2 linked regions of the Oryzias latipes genome follow. The protein of the gene in region 1 purifies or fractionates together with the protein of each later gene. This does not show direct contact. Links are inferred from orthologs where the notes say so. Each region holds a gene or a part of one and is shown on either strand. Other genes may lie near its edges.

Region 1 (3,726 bases):
GTCAAAATCATTGAAGGATACAGATACAGTCAATATGGTGACACCCTAATGAACCAACAGCACGTATATCAACCGGAAACGGTTGGTTTCAGTGCGTCACATCTGTGTTAATGCGTTTAAGAAACAGATCGAACGCAAATAAAACTAAATGTCACAGGTGCCACTTTGCCATCGAAGTACATTTGAAAAGTACGTTATGGTACTAAAACAACAAACTACGCATGCGCCAAATGTCCAGAACATATGATTCGCCATATTTGTAGTTTTATACGTCACAAATGCTGCGTTCACTGAATCCCTGTAAATTATAGCGTTTTTGTTTCGCATAATAAATAAAAACAATAAAAACAACTGCACATAAGAGTCTTTATTTTGGTTAAATACTGTCAGATTTGGTGGATTTTCAAGTATACTGTTCACGTTCATATCCCTTTGGTCAATAAAGTTTTCTAGTATTAAATATTACAAAGCTGTTAAAGTGGTAAAGAAATGTGTTGTGATTAAACAACAGTGTAAAAGCTGTCTTTAACAATCATATCAACTACTTTTGATCAAGTATAACAGTATTATTATTGATGTACTCTGCTAATTTAGTTTAGTCCAAATTATATTATATGAAACGTAAAAACGTTAAATTTGACTTTTTTTAATGGGCAACTATTTTTCAAATTAACATGCATATTTTTATGATGTTTTTCACAAGAGCCGTCTATCTTCGAGTTTGAGAGACCTTTTCATCAGATCGTCCTTCTTTCGGAGCGCACCTGAAGGCGGCGTGATCTGGTGGCTGTTGAGATGATCTTTGTGTGAACGAAGCAGCACAACGAGCGCAGCTAGCAGCCCGCTCCAGGCAGACCCACTGACCAGAAAGACGCCGGGCCAGACGCGTTCCGTGGCCGAACATTACCGCTTTCTGCGATTATACAGCCACAGCGACAGTCTAAAAATGGTAAGAGGACGTTTTAGTTTTTGAGTTTTCACTGTTAGTGGTTTTTTTTTCCTAACGACAACCAGCTTAGCTTTGCGCTAGCTGCTAAAGCTAAGCGGTTAGCGAAGTGTTTTCCTGACTCATTATTGAAGAGCCCAAGAAGCTAGGCTGCCATTTTACACAAGGCACTTAGGACTCGATTGATGCCTTCTGGCACGACAGAGACGATTCTTATTAAATATAATAAAAGGAGCATATATATTTAAAGGAATGGCGGTATAAATCAAGTATCGTACGTAAATCTAAGGCTAGTTGTTCACACAGGGGCCAAACAGTGAGTCGGGCTAACAAGCTAATCCGAGACGGCTAATGAGTCTTAGCGGTGTTGCGTAGCAGTGTCAGACTCCGGTCGTAGCACACTGAACTATAATCACAACAGTGGTTGTCAACTTTAGTGTAAATTGTTAGATATCAGCGTATTTAGTTGGATTGTTTTCGCTCGCTGTCCGCCTCCCGTGTCGTGTTCGGACTCCAACCTGAAACACTCCAGCGCCGTTGAGCATTATTTCTCTGCCCAGGATGACGAGGTGTGGGTTGAATGCCAGACTGAATTTACAGCCCAGCCTTTGTGTCCAGCCACGTCAGTATTACGATCATTGTTAGGTGTTTTCCGTTTAAAACACCACTGGCTTGTCACCCCCTAATGAATGAACGCTTCATCACTTCCTGACAGGTTTTTATGACAGGTGAGAAAACTCGTTGGTAGTCTTCCATATGATGGGGTGTAGAAGTCCACCTCTTCATGTAAATGCAATTTTTCTTTTAAATACTTTGTTTAAAATATTGTTTCTTATTAAGACAAAGTTAGAAGTGGTTTTTGCTCTTGTAGTTGAGCTGAAGCCACATCTGTTTCATATGTTCTTGCTTATGAATAAATATTTGCTCTTTTCAGATACTTTGTTAAATTAAAAAATGGGATTGTTATAACTAGAGACCGAAATAATAGTTTAAATTCACATGAAAGAACTGTAAACATCTTAATTTGAAAGGCTTTCACACTCTTCCTTGCCCTGGATTATTTGATTAAGCATTATTAAAACAAATACCAAACGTTTTTACTTAAATGTAGGCCTTTTTCTAGAGACTGGCTTATATTTCCTTGATGTTATTGTTCTTTTGTATGGAAAAGACTTGGTGCTGTTTTGCAAAAACAAACTAGATTTTTTTCTTTTTTTAAGGTTTCAAACTTTTTCTGACTGGTCATATGGAAAAGTATATTTAGGGATGTTGTGTTCCCCATTTACATTTGATAGCTTGAACTTCCAGTGACAATAGATTACTTATTCAACGATAAACAAAAAAGATCATGGTATGTATGATATTGTATTCTGAAATTGCTTTTCCAAGCTTGATCAGGTTGGCATAAATTTTCTGTATTTCAAGGAGGTGGAGTTTTGATTATTTACTTTTAGTGAATCGTATGTAATGCGTGGATTAATTTACAGTTGAAACCAAAAATGTATATACACCACAATAAAACACATGCTTTTTTTCTCACCATCAGACATGACATTAAAGTACACTTTTCCTGTTTTAGGTAAATTATAATTAACAAAATTATTTCAATTTGCTAAATGTCAGAATAATGAGACTAGGTTTTGTTTTTTTAGACAAGTTTTTATTACTTTTATCAAGGTCAAAAGGTAACATACATTTCCTTAGTGTTTGGTACTATTGCCATTAAACTGCAGTACTTGGGTCAAACCTCTTGGATATCCTTTCACAAGCTTTGGTAGGAATTTTGTCCCGTTCCTCCTGACAGGACTGGTGTGAATGAGCCAAGTTTGTAGGTGGCCTTGTGTGTACACGCCTTTACAGCTTTGACCATACATTTTCAATAGGATTTAGGTCCAGGCTCCAAAACTTTATTGTCCCTAAGCCACTTTGTAACCAGTTTGGCAGTATGCTTCAGGTCATTGTCCTTTTGGGAGATCCATTTGTGCCCAAACTTTCTGGCTGACGTCTTCAGATGTTGCTTCAATATTTCCACTTACTGTTCTTTCCCTCATGATGCCATCTATTTTGTGAAGTGCACCAGTCCCTCCAGCAGCAAAACAAACCCACAAGATGATGCTACCACCCCCATGTTTTACAGTTGGGGTGGTGTTCCCAGGCTTATGTTTCCTCCAAACATAACGATGGTCATTGTGGCCAAACCGTTCTATTTTGGTCTCCAAAAATTAAAGTTTTTACCCTTGTGTGCTTTAGCAAACTTGAATCTGGCTTTTCTACGTTTCTTTTGGAGTAATGGCTTCTTCCTGGCAGAGTAGCCTTTCAGCCCATGTCTGTACAGCACTCGTTTCACTGTTGATAATGTCACATTCTTACCATCTTCAGCCAGCGTCTTTACAACATCTTTTGCCTTCGTCCTTGGGTTGTTCTGGACATATTGGACCAAAGTACGTTCATCTCTGGGACAAGGAACCCGTCTCCTTCCTGAGTGATATGATGGCTGGACGTTCCCATGATTCTATACTTGCGTACCGTTGTCTGAACAGATGAACGTGGCGCCTCCAGGCATCTGGAAATACATCCAGGAAAGAACCAGACTTGTGCAAATCCCCAATTGTCTTCCTAATATCTCAACTGATTGCTTTTAACTGTCCCATGATGTTTTACAAACAAGCAAGAGTGTTTTTAAATGTGCCCTAATACATATCCACAGGTGTGTTTCTAATAAACTCTAATGCTGTCAATAAACGTATCTGATGCTTCCACAGAGATGACATCATCATCTG
Region 2 (3,752 bases), on another chromosome or scaffold:
TTTTGTGGTTGACAAACATTTGTTTTTCTTTATGTAATTTTCCATCAAATGCCATCAATGATAGTTTCTAAATTGACAGGGCTGACCCAGCAGTCAATATTGAATCCTTCTTATGCATAAATAGGCTGTAATGTTCTACCTAAACAAAGTGAATGACAGAACAAGACATTTTCTTTTTTTCTAGCATACATCTTTCTACTGTCTGCACATCTGTCTGACGGCCACTAGGTGTCACTGCAAATTAGCAGACGCCACCAAAGACCATTGATGAAATCAGAGGCCTTCCAGTCTCCATGGGAAAGTGCAGGCAGTCATTCAAACGCTGCAGCAGACTTCCATGCACATTTCAACCACAACGTACATCAGTAGCATGACTGCATGCTTGACATGTTGCAGCCTCGGCGCACCAGCAACCCAGACCGAGCCCTGCCTCCAGCCAACGCGGCCTTCAGGCATTCTGGTCATGTTCTCCCATTGTTACGCAACATCATGTCTGCAAGAACTTAATTACCAGCAGTTCTCCAGGTTGGACCGAGTTGTCTGTGTAGATACAGAGTTTCTCTGCAGTCAATGGTACCGTCTCCTTCATCTTAGATGCCAGAAACATGCATGTAGCTCCAAGCAGCTGGAGTCTGCTTTTCCTGGTGGGCTCCACTGATAAAAATCTGTCCAAATAGTTCATTGCCAACGGAAAAACCTCCTCCTCGCATTTCTGTTCCTCACAGACCTAAAAGAAAAAGAAAATAAAGTGTTTTAGAGGCCGACACTGGCATGGAGACATTTCTTTCTGTTCAAATGGAACAATGATTTCACTTTCTGTAAGCAGTCTGTCTTCCATCCTGCACACTATGATCCTCTCCAACTAATTTAGAAAAACTAAAGCATCTTTCATTTTTCGGCTTTTAAAATACGTGGAAAAAAATTGTTAAAACCTACAGACCAACTCTCAAGAAAAGGCTGGAAAAGCAGGTGAAAGCTGCAGCGGGAATGAGTTTACAGTCAGTTCTGACGGAGACACAAAGGTGGCGTCGACGCAACTTTCACTCCAATTTCAACTTCGTCATCTTTTCAAAAAACACTTTAAAATATTAACAAAAATCGCAGGCTGCTTATTTTAGCAGATACATGAAGCTGAAGGCGCGCCTGATCGGATGATAATGTCATTTGTCTTGTTTGGAGAACAAATTGGTTTTTATTTTTATTTTTTAGGCGAAGATTCTTCACGTGCTGCAGCCGCTGCTCGCACAGCCCGATGCCACATTTCAAAAATTAATTAAAAATATTTAACCTAAAGACTTTTGAACTGAAAGTTGATGTAAATGTTTGAAATGCTTCTGAGTATCAGATCCGACGGATCCGGTCCGTCTGCGCTTTGGATTTTCGAAGGAATCTGCGTTTTTTGGCGTGAAGTTCGTGGCCGTGGCTGCGCCTCCGGAGGCCGAACAAACTCCAGCTTTCGATCCCGCTTCAAACTTTATTCTCTTCTCGTGTCAAAGTCCGCGCTTTACCGGCCCGTTCCCCGTTATTTCTGTTAAAATGACATCATTCAAATCAGATCCCGAAGCTCCGCAAACACCGCAACAAAGATGGCGCGTAATCAGAAACTGGCACGCACCGGGCTGCATACGTGTACACCGGGAACGTTTCGCTGAAAACGTCCCGTTGGACCGAAACATCAGCTGAAATGGAAAAGAGCTGACGGGGAATGAAGTCGGCGGATGATCAGAGGCGCGCGGCCGAAGCCGAAGGGAGGCCAACCCTCACGCGAGCAGCAAGCCGCGTGAAGAAACTAAGCGGCGTGAGCGAGGCGCTCCAAACTTTGGCGTGACCTGCGGTTCCGGTCAGAACAGCTGGCAGCTTAGACGCACAGAGCTGATACCTCTAACATCCAGGTGGCCAGAATCTTCCTCATGTTGGGAGCGATGTCCTTCTGAACACACTTGAAGTAGTTGGGCGCCGGCAGGTAGTTTTCCTCCGCCTTCAGCATGGTCCGCAGGACGCGCTCGTTCAGCAGGTTGACGTCCTGGTGGGCTCTCCGGATGGAGTCCACCTCGCAGCACAGCAGCTGCTCCTCCATGGTAGCAGGACGAGAGCGGAGTCCGCCGGCGGTCCGGGCCGTGTTCCCGCGGGCAGGAGGCTGCACACACCAACTTTCAGCGCCCTTTCTTCTCGCGTGGCTTCTGCTGCCGCGTGCTGCTGCCCCTTCGGTCGCGCGAGCCCTCTGAGGGCCAGACCTCTCTGCTCTCGAAGACAAAACCCCCGATCCGTGCGCGCGTTGCGTGCGCGACCACGAACACGCGCGCACACAAAGTTGATCTGCAGAGCGCACAGTGGAGAGGTGGTGAGAAACGGTGGATGCGCGCGGTGACGTCAGCGGTTGTTAGGGCGGGGGGTATCAAAGACACATGCAGTCTGCTGGGGAGCGCGCGGAAGGGATTGTTTTATGTCCATATGTATGTGCGGGGGGAGGGCTCTGGTGGAGAGGTGGGAGGTCCGGCCCACCGGCGAACGCTTCCATCCTTTGGTCGGTAGGGGGCGGTGGCGATCCTACACCCCCCCGAACCCCCACCCCACCATATGTCTTCCTGGGATTGAATGAAACCGACAACATGAGGTTTCCACGAAAGGACAGGGACACGCCGTTTGCTCCATTCAGGAGATCCCACCAACCGTTGTGGCTGAAAGCAAACAGGGTTGGAATCCAAGCAGTCAGAGAGGAACCAGGTTCAGGGCGCGTGCACACTGCATCCCCACTTCAGACACATGAAACAGATTCAGGTCATTTCAACCAGATCAGCATCTTCTTTTAACTTCTGGAAGTTGCGAATCTCAGCTCGGTTGAAAACGTGACAGGAGCTGACTTTACCTCAAAAGATTCCTGTGAGACGTTCAGACAGACAGGAGGAGACTAGAGTCGCACCAATGGGAGGAATTGCTGTTACTAGGCAGATGTTGGTGTAACTTTCATGTAGGGAAAAGTTCATTGCTCTGAAAAAGTTGACCCTGATAACCCTCACAAAGTCCTTTCACACAAACTTCCAAGTCAACATTGCAGTTTTGTGTTTGTGGACAACTTCCTGATGCTGAGTTCACTATGGTAAAAAAAAAAAGAAGCTCTTTTTTCTCTTCAGTCTTATAAGTTGTAAATCAGGTAGAACAAGCCTCTTTCTGTCCTTTATTATACATTTAGGCACTTTAACGAAAATGTAAAAAGTACAAACAGAGCACTTTTTAATCCAGTTTCAATATGAATCAGAGCTTTTTGCATTCCTGAAATTCCACTTTGGGCCGTTTGGTTGACTACCGTAAAGCCTGAAGAGGGGGTCCATGTGCTGGAAGAGCTTAAAGTCACATCAACACATTCCCAGTCTCCTGCTTTTTAAGGACTAAACATCTGAAGTGAAAGTTGCTGTGTGACAAAAAACAATCCTCATTTACCTGTGCAGGAATAAAGAGCAGATCCCAGGATATACTGAGAAATCCTCTCAACGTTTATGTCTGTTCCTTTATTTTTAAATATTCTAAACGTTGTCTACTTTTTGAGTGTCCGGCTTTTGATGTTGTAGTTCATGCATTGTTGGTCTGAAACCGGAATCTTACCTCTGCAAAAGTTCTGATGGAATAAGGTGATGAACGTGAGCAACAGAATTTTCTGATTCAAAACATTTATTTTTAATAATTTAATGGAAAGGCTTTTTTGTGTGACCCCATTTCACAAACAAAATCCCCTTAATATCCAATTCTAATACAAC

What was found. Proteins that work in one complex are often made in the same cells at the same time.
Region 2: the proteins of cul1 (region 1) and ccnd1 purify together in Homo sapiens (affinity purification with western blotting; 4 studies listed by BioGRID). This does not show direct contact. The link is inferred for Oryzias latipes from reciprocal best matches to the Homo sapiens genes CUL1 and CCND1.

The regions. Positions count from the first base shown.
Region 1 is NC_019878.2:3,220,965-3,224,690, forward strand, and holds the start of cul1 (cullin-1), read left to right. Parts: upstream 1-792; 5' UTR 793-949; intron 950-3,726. UniProt on the Homo sapiens protein: Core component of multiple cullin-RING-based SCF (SKP1-CUL1-F-box protein) E3 ubiquitin-protein ligase complexes, which mediate the ubiquitination of proteins involved in cell cycle progression, signal transduction and transcription.
Region 2 is NC_019861.2:4,930,381-4,934,132, forward strand, and holds the start of ccnd1 (G1/S-specific cyclin-D1), read right to left. Parts: upstream 2,391-3,752; 5' UTR 2,078-2,390; coding exon 1,880-2,077; intron 728-1,879; coding exon 512-727; intron 1-511. UniProt on the Homo sapiens protein: Regulatory component of the cyclin D1-CDK4 (DC) complex that phosphorylates and inhibits members of the retinoblastoma (RB) protein family including RB1 and regulates the cell-cycle during G(1)/S transition.